Rhinolophus ferrumequinum: one gene and its partner. The protein of the gene in region 1 purifies or fractionates together with the protein of each later gene. This does not show direct contact. Links are inferred from orthologs where the notes say so. Each region holds a gene or a part of one and is shown in the gene's direction. Other genes may lie near its edges.

The links. The genes of interacting proteins can lie anywhere in the genome.
Region 2: the proteins of GNGT2 (region 1) and GNB2 purify together in Homo sapiens (affinity purification with western blotting; 3 studies listed by BioGRID and IntAct, with this or other methods). This does not show direct contact. The link is inferred for Rhinolophus ferrumequinum from reciprocal best matches to the Homo sapiens genes GNGT2 and GNB2.

The regions. Positions count from the first base shown.
Region 1 is NC_046304.1:34,068,156-34,075,843, forward strand, and holds the start of GNGT2 (guanine nucleotide-binding protein G(I)/G(S)/G(O) subunit gamma-T2), read left to right. Parts: upstream 1-4,649; 5' UTR 4,650-4,852; exon of another isoform or gene 4,853-4,999; intron 5,000-5,252; exon of another isoform or gene 5,253-5,461; intron 5,462-5,834; exon of another isoform or gene 5,835-5,960; intron 5,961-6,711; 5' UTR 6,712-6,733; coding exon 6,734-6,817; intron 6,818-7,101; coding exon of another isoform or gene 7,102-7,239; exon of another isoform or gene 7,240-7,249; coding exon 7,250-7,375; 3' UTR 7,376-7,688. Other genes in the region: ABI3 (ABI gene family member 3), read right to left, coding at 7,102-7,239. UniProt on the Homo sapiens protein: Guanine nucleotide-binding proteins (G proteins) are involved as a modulator or transducer in various transmembrane signaling systems.
Region 2 is NC_046290.1:90,949,944-90,957,382, forward strand, and holds the start of GNB2 (guanine nucleotide-binding protein G(I)/G(S)/G(T) subunit beta-2), read left to right. Parts: upstream 1-4,369; 5' UTR 4,370-4,536; intron 4,537-6,742; 5' UTR 6,743-6,831; coding exon 6,832-6,888; intron 6,889-7,097; coding exon 7,098-7,136; intron 7,137-7,252; coding exon 7,253-7,359; intron 7,360-7,439. UniProt on the Homo sapiens protein: Guanine nucleotide-binding proteins (G proteins) are involved as a modulator or transducer in various transmembrane signaling systems.

The DNA.
Region 1 (7,688 bases):
GAGAAAGCAGCGACCCTATGTTTGAAGTGGTTTCCATATGAATGATGTTACAGTAAGAGAGACTCAGGACATCAGGGAAAGCAAATCTGCAGCCCGAAGAAGTGAGTACAAGGGGAGGGAGAGACACCCCTGCTCAAAAAGTCAAGCTTAGGATTGACCCTACCTCCCTCTTGAGGACCTCTTGGGGCATAAAGGGTGAATAGTAAGAAGGAGAGAGGAAGGCAATACTGGCTGGCGGAGGTCTCAAATTTAAAACCAACCAACCAATGTCAGGCCCCCTCTTCAGACCTTCTAAACCAGAATCCCCTGGGAACGAGGCTGATGACTCTATGCCTTTAAAAGCTCCCTACATAACTCTTGTGCTCCTTGTTTAGCTCCAGTCTGCAGGTGGGTGTTTGGGAACCAATGATCTGGTCCATTTTACACATAAGGAAATTGAGGCCCAGAAGAGAGTGACCTCATTCATTCATTCCCTCCAGTAGCTTTCCAGTACATGGGGAATAAATCCAAACTTCTAACCATGGCCTATGTAGGACCCCGCAAGACTGGATCCTGCTTTTCTCTTCACCCTCATCCTCTACCACTCCCCCTGTCACTTACTTCCCTCCAACCACATTGGCCGTTGGGTTTTTGTTCCTGATCAAGCTAAGATCGTTTCTACCTCAGGGCATTTGCACTTGCTGTACTTGTTTCTAGAATCCTTCGTAAGTCTCAGCTCCTCAGAGACACCTTCCCTCACCACCCTACAATTTACCCCAGCCCACTTCTGTATTGACTCTCTAACACATTTACCCTGTTCGCTTTTCTTCAAAGCTCTTAGCACTATCAGCAATTATTTATCTATTTACTTTATTATCTACACACACACACTAAAATGTAAGCACAGTGAGGGCAGGGAGCCTGTGTGTTGTATTCTGGATCCCATCCTGGAAGAGTGCCCCCCCCACACAGATGATACTTAATAAATATGTGTTTGTAAGTTAATTAATGGATTGGATGCAAACCCAAATACTTGCTGGGCATCTTCCCATTGCATGCCAGATACTGTGCCAAGGGCTGGGCAGTGTCACACTGCCAGTCAGTGGTGGAGGGGTGGGCAGGGAGTGGCTGAAGGCAGAAGTTTTTTTTCAGTCCCAGATCAGACCATGTGAGCTGGGACAAAACTTCTCTGGTCATTTGGTTCCTCAGGCAGCTTCCTCATCTCTGGTGGGGTCATGAAATTGCTGCACTCTAACCTCTACCTTTCTCTAGAAGGGTAAGGGGTAAGGCCAGGGCAACCCTGCAGGAAGGCCAGTGGACTGACAAGCAAGGTGGCACCATGGGGGCTCCTTGCTAACAACACTCAAGGCCAGTCAGTGAAGAAGAGACGTGGAACCTATCAGAGCAGGGTACCCAGAGAAACCTGGGTGCCTCCAAAGTAGCCTGAGCCAGGCTAGAGCCAAAGGGCAGACCCAGAATCTTCTGAGCTGACCCTCCCCTGTTACTCCTCCTTTCCTTTCTATTCCACCAGCAGTTAAGAGGTGCTCATTTGCATGCAATTTACATTTCATCGCATGTGTAACCAAGTGCCTTAAAAAGGCAAACCATCAACCCAGGATGTTAAAACCAGAAAGGATAGCAGGTCTTGTTCTAGTTCAAGACCTTCCTTTGGAAGGTGAGGAAATGAAGGCCCGATGGAGCATTTGATCTCCACCCATATTTCTCAGCTCAACTCTCCTATACTGTTCCCACTTGGACTGGCATGTGGAATTCATCACTGGATTTACCTATCAACTCAAATAGGAAAACTGTCTGGTTGGGCCCAGCTCTGGGAGGCAAGATCCCTTTTGGTCTTGGACCAAAGTTAAGTCTGGAGATCAAAGGTTTGGGATCCATCTTCATGGTTGACTGCTTATTTATCATGCAAATTACTCTGTTTGTAAACTCAATGGACCCTGACCAAGAACTCTGCTGTTGACCCTAGCCTGCCCTCTACCATTGCCCAAGGGTTTCCTGACACCTGGTTGGGGTGGAGGAAAGGGGTGGTGGAAATGTGGAAGGCCTGGGAACCAGGCCCTGTGAAAGAGCAGTGCTGAGAAGTCGCCTAAACCCTTCCTAGGGATTTGCTCCCCAAAGATCCTCAGAGAGGCCAGGAAAGGTCACTGGTTGTGTGGTCTAGTAGTGTTCTGCATGAAGGAAGCAGGAGTCCAGGGATTCTGACCTGGCTCAGAGCTTCGTATGCCCTGGGTGTTTTGCAAGGGCTACTTCACCTCCCTAGAATTGACTTTTGTTATCTATATGTATCTCTCATTCTTCTGATGAATGGTGATCATCGTAATAAGAATAATAATGGCAACAGCTACCATTTATCCTTGCCTTCTTAAGGGGCAGACACTGGGCTAAATGCTTCAATACGTTATCACACTTAACCCATGTGACCCCTGTGAAGGAAGGTATAAGAATAGAGGGGAAACTTGCCACAGGTCCTGTAGTTGTTAGATGACAAAGTTGGAAATTGGATTCAGGTCTTTGTGCCCTCAAATCCTGTGTGCACACTGTGTGCAAATGAGAACCCACCCGGAAGTGCTTTGGACATGCAGAAGTTATTGAAGGACTGGGAAGGAGCGCTTCCATTCTTGTGGACGAGAGTGCCTGCCAATGCTATGAGAATGGAGCTGGCTTATAAGCCGTGTTCCATCTCATCTACAAGTTGGTCATTTCATATCTACACAGACAGAAATTGTACCCTGGGTAGCATTTTCAACTAGAGGTTTGGTGGGTGTGCTCTGGAGTCAAAATTACGGGTTCAAATCCAGGTTCTGCCACTAGCTTGGAGACCTTGGGAAAGTAAGTTAACCTTTCTTAACCTCAGCCTCCAGGTTGTGAAATGGGAGTGGTTCTCATCTCACAGGACAGGGGTGAGGATGAAAGGAGGCACCTGCCTAAAGTAAGGGAGCAGAGCTTTTGAACTGTTGTTATCATTGATTCTCTTTAATCTGCCATTTTCCCATAAACACTTGCTCCTCTTATTTATTTATTTTTTTCAACACTCCTACTGATCTAGGAGGTCCCTGTGCCTCTTCCCACCGTTTGGTTAGAATAGTTAGAAAAGTAAAGTTTTGCCCAAGGGATAAAAAGGTTATCCTGTAGCTCTTAAGGGTGCAGAGGAAACTGAGGGCAAGAGTCATAAAGCATGTCAGGGAGGCAGGAAGGTGGAGAGGAGAGAGCTCGGTTTCAAAAGTCAGAAGGCCTGGGCTGATGCCTGACTCTACTGTTTCCAAGCTGTGTGACCTTGGGCAAGTCACCTCACCTCCCGGTGCTGCTATTTCCTCATCAATAAAATAGGAATAATAATATTTGCCTCACAACGTGCTTGTGAGGATTAATGAACGAACAGAGGTGCTCAGTTGGTATTACGTTTTTCTCGTCCCTCTTTCCTTGATTCAAGAATCCATCCACATGCTCAGTCCTGGGACAACCACGCAAATTAGAAAACTGTTCTAAAATGCCAATATCCTGGTCTTTCATTGGTAGCCTGCTTCCAGCAGTCAGGTTCTCCATCCCCTCCACCCCCATTCCAGACCCCCTCTCTTTAACCCACACTAGTCTGATGTCTCTCCACTCTCCCTCTCTTTCTCTACACGTTCACTACAATGTTTGGGAAGTTCTGAAGCCTTACCTAGAGCCAGCCTGAAAATGAAATGATGGCACCACCATCTGTGTGAGGACGAGGCTTTGGGCCTGAGGATTTGCATGAGAGGCTGGGAAGGAAGGAGATGGACCTAGGGTGAGGCCTGACAACGGGATGGAATAGCACGCCCTGCCCAAACAGCTCTGAGGCTTTGGGACAGAGTAGGGGCACAGTGGGGGCGTGGGTAGCAGGAGGTCTCCGGGGACTGGGTTGACGCTGAGGCCTGGAGGGGGAGGATTTCTCCGCCAAAGCCCAGGACAAACACCTGTCAGAATGGCTCCCACAGCCTCACGCTGGAGATGGGCTCTGGGCCCCTGGAGGGGCTGGGGTGACGTGACGGGGCCTGTACAGGCTCTGCCTACCTGCACATAGTTGTCCTCGCAGTAATCGGCCACTCGCAACAGGGCGCTGTGGTTGCTCCGCAGAGCCTCCCGGCCCGTGGGGATCTCAAACTCCTGCAGCTGCTGCAGCTCCTCCATCGCCCCCAGCCTCTGACAGGCTCCCCAGGGAGCTGCTGGTTTTGTGCCTCACCCTGCCCTTGATTGGTTGCCCTGCCTTACCCTCCCTCTTGCTGCTTTTGGTTTCCTCTTCGTGAGAGACCCAAACCTGCTTGCAAAGGGCAGTCATGCTCATTCCGGGACAAGAGGAAGTTAGTCCCTGCTCCCTAGGCCTGTGCCTCTCTGTCCCCTGCCCAAAGGAAGGGGGAAGCCAGTTGCCCCTTTGGGGGCCCAGCCCCCCAATCTCTCCCAACAGAGGAAGCTAAGGTCTGGGCAGTTGTGATTGCTCCCTGGGCCTGGAGAGGAAATGTTTGGCGGGGGGGTGGGGTGGGAGACAGAGGAGGAAGGGGGCTGGCCTGCTGGGGGGGGGGGTGGAGGTGGATTTTCCACTCATGGAAAAGGAGGAAAGGGCAGAGGGTGGGGGCTTCCTTGGGAAGCCCAGGGATGAGTCACCAAGGGACAGGAGACTGGAGGGAGGAAAGGATATGGAGACCAGTCAGGCTTGGGGCTGCGGAGTAAGGGAGTAGCAACAATGGAAAACAGACAATGCCGCAGCAAGAAGAACCCGGCCGATACCAGGAAGATGCAGCCAGAGGACCCCTGAGAAGTGTTATCAAGCCTCTGAAGCGTTCCGTGTGGTGACGATCTGGTGTACAAGCTCTGTGCCCGATGGAGGCAGGACAAGGTGAAATGGACCGAGTGTATTGTGAGAGACTCAGACTAGACGACAGGAAGGACTTGGCTTTGAGAAGCAGCAGGTTCAGTTTCCAGATGAACTGGTCAGGTTGAGGAAGCAGCGGTGTACGATAGAGCACTGAGCTGGCCTTAGGAGGTAGGTGCTCTATTTCCTGCATTCACAGGGGAGCTGGACTGGATGACCTCCAGGGTCCTGTCCTGATCTCAAATTCTTAGAGCTCACAGTGGTGAGTGGGACTCAGATCCCGGAGCATGGGAAGTTAGGGTGGACTCAGGGCCCTCCCACTGCCGTCTGTCATCACAGAGGCAGGAGAAAAAGAGGATCGCTCAGTGACCATATCGGTCCCTTAACACCAGCTCCTTGAGAGGGTCCCCTTGTCATTGGACAGGCATCCGCTTGCACAGGAGCTCAGTGTCTGTCATCGTGGGTGGTCCTGGGAGGACAGCAAGAGAAAGATCAGGATAGAGGCCCTGAGCTGGAGGACTGCTGAGGGAGACCCACGCCCTGGAGCCTGAGGGAGGCGTGGAGGCAAAGAAGCACGGACACAGGCGTGAGAGGTGGCCATGGCCCCAAGTGCTAAATAGCACAGCAGCCTGTGTGAGTACATTTTTATTGGATGAGTGAGTGAAGAGTGAGCTGGGAAAACCTTGCAAGGTGAAATTGTGGGGCTCCAATGGGGGGCACAAAGGCTTATTGGTGAGGGAAGTTAGGAGATGGTCTAGGACTTGCCTCGTTGGGAAGAATAGCCTCAGCGCCCCCTCAGAGGTACGGGAGGGAAGGGCTTGGGACAGAAGGGGGGGAGCATGTAGGGCTAGAGGGGGTGAGAAGTGGGGAAATAGGCTCTAAGCCGGGAGGATCACTAAAGGAGTGGGGCTGATGCAGGGGGCAGGGGGTCTGCTCTGGTGGCAGGGACGGCTTGGAGGCGCAGGCCGAGGATGGGCTTAGAACCACGAGCCTGTGATCCGCTTAGGCGGCAGAGATTTGGGCTTCCAGACCATCTGCTTCATCCAAAGACTTTCAGCTGATGAGGAGCTGGGATACTCAAACATCATCTTGTCTGAGTCGGGGACTTGAAGTGCACGCTTTTTCTTGGCAGGTGAGAGGGGCTGAGGCTGTACTGAGCTGGATATAGTCTTAGAATTATGGAGGTTAGGTATCCGACAGGACTTCCTGATAACCATGTAGTGAAGCTATTGGTGATGATGGTGGTGTTAGGTGTTCACTATGTGCCAGGCAGTGTATTAAAACATGTTACTCGTATAATCATTAGTTTTTAGTACTCACAATAAACGTATAAAGTAGGTACTATTATTATAATGCCCATTTTGCTGATGGGGAAACTAAGACTCCAGGAGGTTGAGTGACTTGCCTCAAGCCACACAGCTTGGAAACAGCAGAGCCGGGATTGGAGCTAGAGTCTGACAGGCTCCAGAGCTCTTTTCTTAACCATTAGGGTACACTCTCCCTTGACAGGACCTGGGATTTTCTGAAAACTTCTATCTGTGTTGTATGTGGAACACTAACTTTGCTTCCCAAATCTTCCCCACTGAAAGAAACTCCTTTTGTCTCTCTTCTCCATGCTCTGATTCCTGTTTCCTCCACACACAGGTTCTTATCCGAGGGCAGAGTTGGTGCCACCCGCATCAGACTGGAAGTGTCCTCTCTTCCTGAGCTTAGACTCATGACAGAGGTGGGATGGGGAGGAGCAGGGGATAGATGATGAGCAATGAGGGCCTGAAATGAGGGACAAGGCAGAGATGAGGGTAGACGTTGAGGTGTGGAGAGCGCAGAGGAGGGAGCTGGGGAGTCCAGGAGATTTGCCATTCTGGCTGTGGAATCCTTTCCAGGACCAGGTCTCTCCAGGGCAGGATGGCCCAGGAGCTCAGCGAGAAGGAGCTATTGAGGATGGAGGTGGAACAGCTGAAGAAGGAAGTGAGGAACCCAAGAGCCCCGGTGAGCCTCCTCTTCCCTTTCTCATCCCTTCCTGTTCCTTATGGAGCCGGACAGGAAAAACAACGGGGTGGGGGGACCATGTCAGGGCACTAGAAGGAGCAGGAGGTGCCTCTGGGATGGGGTAGGATGTGGAAGGAGGCTGGGGTTTGACCCCACGGAGGTGCACAGGAGAGAACCTTTGCACCTGGCGGGCTCAGCGTGTCCAGCCCTGTCTAGGCCTGGGCCTGGCCCAGTGTCCCTCGCAGGTAAGAATCAGACTTTGTGGTTCTGGGCAAGGAACTCACACTCCTCTCACACCTGCCTGTCCCTTTCGTCTTTCTCCTCTCTGGCCGCCATCTCCATCCTGTCCAGAAGCCTGTTTTCTTGGGACTGACCAAGTCATGGATCCTAAACAACAAACAAGGGCTGGAACCATACTTCATTTTTTCACAGATTTCTAAGACGGGAAAAGAAATCAAGGATTATGTGGAGGCCCAAGCAGGAAACGACCCTCTTCTCAAAGGCATCCCCGAGGACAAGAATCCCTTCAAGGAGAAAGGCGCTTGTATGATAAGCTGATGGCACCGGAGCCCGTCACCCTGAATGTCTGTCCCTCCTTAGCCCCACTCCTCACCCAGAACCAAGTGTCCTGGGACTCCCAGAGAACCAGTAAATTTCCTCCTTCTCTTAAGTCACAAAATGAGTAGGTAAAGGTGTCTGGCTGTATGCACTGTGAATTCATTCCCCGACCCCACTTTCAACTCTTTTCTCTCCACTGTCTCCTCCACCTGCTGGGTCCCTGTTGACCCCGCTTGGAAACACTGGGATCTTTCCTAGCTTTGCAGTTGGCCCCATGCGTGGTGGGTTCTGAAGAGCCTGCGATACCCTGAGA
Region 2 (7,439 bases), on another chromosome or scaffold:
CAGGCACTGTTATAAATGCTTTACAAATATTAAGTAATTTAGTCCTCATAATGACCCGATCATTACCCCCATTTTGCAGGGGGAACAGAGGCATGGATGGGTTAAGTGATTTGCCCAAGATCACTCAGCTGGTAAGTGATATTTGAACTGAGAAAACTATTGATCCTGGGGGTAATGTTGCTATACTTACAGTCATTTCATAGATGTTCTCTAAGTGCCTGATAGACACTGGGAATAAAATGGTTCATATAACTTGATGAGACTCTTGTCCAGTTTAATGTCTATCCTGGAAGATAAATGAATAAACAATTCAATAAAGTCATCAGGAAGTTCTCACATTCCAGGCCCGCATCCAGGTTGGCCAAACCTGAGCACTTGGTAATGACGTCAAAAGTGGTAGGGCCAGGACCCTCAGACCCCACACTTTGGAAATGACTTGGCATCTTGTGCGAGTCTGCTCATTTCTTGGAGAGTTCTCCCCCAGCCCTCTGCCAGATAAACCAAGTGCTTTGGCTTCACAGGGAACCCCTAGCCTAGTACAGGTGGCTAGTGCCCAGAAATAAACAGTCCAGCAAGGCTGCAATAGGAATGGAGCCAGCATTGCAGTGGGGCACAAACAACAGTGTGGTCAGGGAGACAATACTGAAACTAAGCCTGAGAAAATGACCTGAATTTTCATGGCTGACAAGGAAGTAGAGTTAGAGTGAGGGTGGAAGTCGGTTTGAGTAGCATAAACAAGACCCAGCCTGTGTGACATGCAAAGAAGTTTGGCCCTTCTCATGGAATTGATGGGTAACGACTGCATGGTTTTGAACAGTAAAGTTATACGATCCAATTTGCATTTTAGAAAGATATTTCTGGCAGCTATTTGACAGGTTGATTGGAGAGGGACTACCCTAGAAGCCAGGAAATAGGCGAGAATCAAGGTGACAGGAGTTGGTATACAGTAGAAGGGATGGATTTAAGCAATATACAAGAGGTAGACTTGATAAGATGTATCCACCAGTGACATAGACTGCTAGCCTTACATCAATAGCCATCTCCCTTCTTCAATTCTTAATAATGTTTTAGCTGGGTATATGACTAGAGACTACATTTCCCAGCCTTCCTTGCACCTGGCCAACTTCTGAGCAGAAGTTAGTGGTGTCCTTAAACAGCAATATACTTGTGCTTCCCACCCCAACCTCCTTCTCAATGGATGAGATTCAGATATAATAGTGGAAGCTGCTTGTGCCACATTGGACACAGAGATGGAAGCTACATTTTGAGAATGGCAGAGACGCCCCCCCCAGATCTGGAGGATCTATTTTGGGGTTATCACTTAAGCCATTGAATTTTTGGGACTCTTTGTTATAGCAGCTTGGGCTGTATTAATTAGTTGACCATCCTTTGGATATGCTCAATAAAGAAGTGAGAAGCTCCTGGATGGATGATGGTGCTGTTAATTGGGCCAAGAGATACAGAAATGGGGTAGGGTTGGGTAGAGTGGGATGGAGTAGAAGATTAATTTAGTTTTGAATATGTTGAGTATGAAATGTCTGAGAACAGTGGTGTGTAGTAAATGTTTTAACAACCAGTTCTTTTGGAAAGGGGAGCCCTGATCTGAAACACTTGCCAATTTCCATGATGTAAATACACCCACCATGATGATTACAAGTTACTACTGTCTACATGACTTCACTGAACAAGGAGTGTGGAAGAGAGGTACACAATGGGCTCTTGTGAGCTGGCCTGAGCTGGCACAAGCTGACTCCAGCACACCACTGTCTATGAGCATCCAGATGGAGATATTCAGTCTGCAGTTGGACATATACCAAGTCTGCACATGGGGAAAGACATCTGGGCTGAAGATAGAGGTTTGAGAGTTATGAGCAATTAGGGGGTAGTTAAAGACACAGTAATGGATGAAGTCACCAGTGAATAACATGGAGAGTGAGAAGAGGAGACTGAAGTCAGGATCCTGGGAAAAACAATGTTTACAGAATGCCCCGTGGAGAAGAAGGTCAAGGAGAAGCCTGAGAAAGAACAGTCAGAGGAAGGAGGAAGTGTCCCATTACCTGTCAGAGCCAGGTTCTTCCAGGTGCTCCAGGGCTTCTGACTTCTCAGAGAAATTTGTCATCCACTGGTCATCCCCTACCTGTCCGTATCCTTCACCTCTCCCTCCACCCACCCCATACCACCTGTCATTCCCATTATCATCTAAACAAACTCCAGTAGCTACCATCAAAAACAAATACAACAATACCACATTCTCCTTCCACTGATGCCGCCCCTTTCTACACCCCCTCCAAGCCAAGATTCCCAAAGCCTTGGCCACTTTGTCTCCACTGCCTCATTTCTCACTCACCCTCAGCCCACTGCAAGCAGAGCATCCATTGCAAATGTTCCAGCAAAGTCACCAGTGGCCTCCACGTTACTCAATCCTATGCGCACTTCTCAGTCTAGTCTTGCTTCATCTCTCTGCAGCATTCAATACAATTTACCATTCACGTTTTGGAACACTCTTTTCTTTTGGATTCCGGATCTCCACATTTTCCTGATTTTCTTCTTAGCTTTCTGGCTTCTCCTTTGGCAGCTTGTCTGCCTCTGCTTGACCTCTAAATGTTGGAGCTCCTCAGAGCTTGGTCTTAGGCCATCTTGTCCTTTCCCTGCACCTCTTTATGATTTCATCTGCTGTAAAACGCCACTCACTCTCAAGGCTCTAATCCAACCCAGACTCTGCTGCTGAGCCCCAGACCTGCTTGGACAGCCACCTACTGAACATACTTCCTTGCACCTCTCCTAGGACCTCAAACCTAACGCATCCCAACTTAAAACTGATGGTGTCCCTCCCAAATGTTCTGCTCTCAGTAAGTGGCACTTCCAGGACACCAGTACTAATTGTTATTTCAATAATCATCTACCATCTCTTTCCCCTGTAAACTGTAAGCTCCCAGCAGGCAGACCAGGGTGCATGTGTTCACGTTTGCATCCTCAGCACCCAGGACAGTGCCTGATAGAACACGGATCTGATAAATATTTGCTGGATGAGTTAAAACAGGAAAGCCTATTAGCACAGAAACCAAAGTGAAAGGAAGCAGTCAGATGCCCTATAGAGATGAACAAAATTGGGTTCTAGTCCTAGGCTGATAGTTTTCTAAGTGACGTTAGGGAAGTCACTCTGCCCATCTGTAGATTGAGAGGAAATCGAAGTATATTATCTATAAGGTTCCTTCCAAGTTCTAACATCTAATTGACATCTATTATCTACTGTTAATATAACACTGAATTGGTAAGTGCACATAAATGGAATTTGGACATAACTAAGAATGTGACTTTTTCTTTTCTTTTTTTTTTATACTTCCAGCATTTTTAAAATTTTATTTCTCTAATACAGTTGACATACAATATTTTTTCTTACTTTCTTTAAAAAATTGTGCTTAGGGAACTATTTGTAATGCTTTAACAGAGGCTAAATGAAAAGTGTCTGTTTTGATACTTTACTTTTAAATTGCATGAGGACTCAGTGAAGGTTATTCACTGATTTAAACTTTCCAAAGCATTTTTACAATCCGTGGGGAATCATAACAATCCAACGTGACTTGGACAGGTCAACATTCTCATTTTACAGAGGTGGAAACAGGCCTATACAGGTACTTACATTTTCATCCCTTTACAGAGATGGCCCACAGGAGGTTTCATCAAGAGTCTAGACTGTTTGTTATTCATTGCACAGTGAAGTCGCTAAAGCTGCCTTGGTTCATGTCACAGTATTGTCGTGAGGATTCCACAAGTATGAGTTATTATTACAGTGTCATGCAGATCTGTAAAGAGTTCTACAAAATCCCACTTTTGGTGGGAAACTGCCTGGGCAAGACCCTTTTCAAGGCAGTCCCACGTTCCCGAGAGCCGGCAGTGGGCCCCATTCATTCCTGCTCAGGGACTTCCAGAATCACAGCCCTCTCCCTCCGCCTCCTGGAGGCCTCCTCCTACCCAGTCCTGCCAGGGTCAGGATCTCTGAAACTCCGTCCCCTGAAGGGCGTGGTCTTACCAGGGTGGGGGCGTGGTCAAACCGAGAACTGGGGCGTTGAGCTTCCCTTCCCAGTCTGGAGCCACCCAATCCGGGAGGGTAGGTCACGTGACCAGAGAGCTGTTTCACCCTCCCTTATGCCGATACCACCTTTGTCAGTCCCAGGGGGAATGTCTTACTCCCTTTCGGGAAGCAAAGCATTAATTTTAGTCCGTTTTGCGTCGAAATAGCGTGGGGCAATATCTTCGTTTTGACAGAGTCAGTCTTTGCCCCTTAGGTGGTATTTTCCCTTCCGGTCTCCCCCCACTAGGTAGTTGGTCTCGCCCTGCCGGGCCCTGGGCGCGGCGGCGACGGCCGCGTCACTGGCGGGCGGGATCCCTCCGCTCTGGGGAGAGCAGCGCTGGACTGTTGAGTTGGGGTGACTGAGGAAATCCATCCGCGTCGCCGCCGCTGCCGCCTCCGCCGCGGAGGAAGACAGGACCTCCCGCGCTCCTCTAGCGACCCTTCGCAGAGTCCCACCGCCACAGGTACCTCCGGTGACAAAAGGAGTCCTCATCTCCCCCAGCCCCAAATTCCCTTGAGGGGAAACCTCTCTTTCTTCTGTTTCCCCGATCTGGCCTCTTGGGAGCGGACGTAACTCCCCAGACCTCCCCTCCCTTCCTTCGGCCCCGTCGCTTCTAAACCCGGAAGGGGAACTGGGGGACCCTCATCCCCAATAACGCACGCGCTCCCTGCACCTTCAGGCGCATTTTATCTGACCTCAGATCCCATCCCGGCCTCGCCTGCCTCTTGCTCCCTGAGAAGTTGGGGGGCACATTCGGGGCTTTCTCTAGGCCCTTTCTGCCCCCCCACCCCCGTTTGCCCCTGGGTAGCACCCCTCGTGTCTTTCCATTTCGCACTCCCGCCAGTATTCGCCTTGCAAAACTCTAGAATCCTCAGAGAAGCAGGCAAGGCCGCGAGGCCACCCTTCCCTTCGTCTCTATCCTAACCTCGATTTGGGTTCTGCCCGTATTTTCTGGCCCCATTACCCTGGACGGGAGTCCTCGGCACCCCATTCCCTTTACGAGTCTTAACCCCAAGTCTAGCTCCAGGGCGCCCCCACCCCTTGCCTAGATTTCTTTTGGGCAAAATGGAGGTCGTGGGGGCCGAAGGGCCAGGCTTACTGCGCTTCGCAGCGCGGCACCGGTACGCGCCTTCCAGCTGCCAGATCCAGGACCCTCCCTAGTCCCCTCCCCTTCGCCCCGCCAGACCTGCGGAGGCGGTGGCACCCCCATTTCTCCTTGGAGCCCCGGCTGCTCTGTGCCCAGAATCTGGGGACCCTGGAGGGCGAGGGAGCGTCGCCCCCGCCCCCAGCTTCCTTCTGCCCCGGGCCTTTGGCGTTGCCGCCAGGCCGGGACTGCTGACAGCTGGAAGGAAGGGGCTTTGTCTGGAGCTGAGAAGGTGGGGTGGAGGGCTTTGCCCCCTCCCCGCTTTTTCGGAGGGGCATCCCCTGGCGCTGGCTTAGAAAGCTGAACTGACAGCGGGAAAATGTCCGTGGGGAAGAGGAACGCCCAGGCCTGGGGGAAGTGGGAGCAGGGTGGGGGACGCCCGGGTTGGCAGAGTACAGTGTGCATGGCCAGATCACACAGGTGTCCAAAGGGGGGGGGGCAGGACTACGAGCCCTGGAGCGGAGCCAGCCAGGCCCCTGGGGCCCCGGCGACGAACCCGCAGACTGGGCTCCTGGGGTGCCGAGGACACAGGGCCAGGCCGTCTGGGGCCGCCTCTCGCCCGTCCGCCGGCGCCGGGGAGAGAGCAGCTCCGTGCCTTGGGGCCGGGAACCTCTCTTCCGAGCCCTAATTACTCGCGAGCGGTTCCCACGGGCTTTCCGCGGCGCGCTGGGGCGAGAGGCCTCGGCTCTGGAGGGAGCAGCGGTTTGAGACTGTCCTCCCCGCCACCCTCGCCTCCACCCCGCGCGGGCGGCTAATGGGGCGCAGCCGGTCTGGGGATTATCCAGGGTGAGCCGTCCCGAACCTATTAGTGCCCAATCGGCTTTTCCCAAATCCTGTAAACAGTCACCCGGTTCTGGGGAGGAGCGGGAGGCTGGGTCGGGCGGGGGCGATGGGGCCGGGGGTGGGGTCACCCACCCGACAGGTCTCTGCCGTGGATGTGGTTGCCTTGGCAACCGGGCTAGGGTGGGGGCACTTCACCAATGAGGTGCTCTCAGTCCGGGTGACGGTTGCCTAGGCAACCCCACGAACATCTCAGCTTCCCCCTCTGGTCTCCCCCCCTGAGTCTAAGCTTGGGGGTGTGTGTGGAGGGTGTGCGACGTGTGGGGGTGAATTTAGAGAGGCACCGCCCCTTTTAAAATGAGGTGCTATGAGGGCGGTGCCTGTGCGGGCAGGGGCGGACGCCAGGTCTGTTTTCGAAGGGACTCTCCCCGCCCTCTTGCCCCCCCAGTTCCTGTCGCGGGTGTCCCGCCCGGGCTGCTGTCCGAGGGAGGGGTTTCCCCTGCGCTTCCTCTTGCACTTCCCGCTCCGTTTCCGGGGGGCGGGAGGAAGATTGGGGAAGTCAGCTATTCCTAGGCCCCATCTTTTCTGTGCCAGAGGCCCCGGGTTCTGCAAAGGGGCTGCGGCCACCGCAGCCGCCCCCTCCCCCCCTCTACCCTGTGCTCACCCTTTCCGGCCGCATTCAACCCCGCCTTGCCCCCCTTCTTCCCCGCGACCTTGGGCCTGACGTCAGCCCTGCATCCCCCAGGCCTCGGGCCAGCGGCGAGGAGCTGCCTCCCCCAGCCCCCGTCCCGCGGCCCCCAGCCGCCCCCAACCCCGCCCCACGGGCCTGGCGCCATGAGTGAGCTGGAGCAACTGAGACAGGAGGCTGAGCAGCTCCGGAACCAGATCCGGGTGAGGGCCTGGCCGGCTGAGCTGGGAGGGCTGAGTGGGCAGGGCCAGGCATCTGTGTGCTGGGCAGGGGGAGGGGTTCTTTGTGTGTGTGAGGGGTAACCTAAACCCCCTTACTGTCTTATCCTCTCCACTCCTGTCTCCTGCGTTTCTTCTCCCCCTCCTGGTCTTATCTCCTGCCTCTTTCTGACTGACTCTGCCATCTCTTGTAGGATGCCCGAAAAGCATGTGGGGATTCAACACTGACCCAGGTGAGATGAATCCAGGGCTGGGCTTGGGGCTTAGGAAAGGAGCTCCGGTTTGAGGCATACTGCTTAGTGGGCCCTGCCTCCTGACCCGCCCTGACCCATTCTCCCTCTACCTCTAGATCACAGCTGGGCTGGACCCAGTGGGGAGAATCCAGATGAGGACACGGAGAACCCTCCGTGGGCACCTGGCAAAAATCTATGCCATGCATTGGGGGACAGACTCAAGGTTTGTGTGCGGTGGGGGCTGGGTGTGAGCCTTTGTGTTTGCCCCAGGACTAAGTGGAGCAGGGAGAGTTGGGGGCAGTG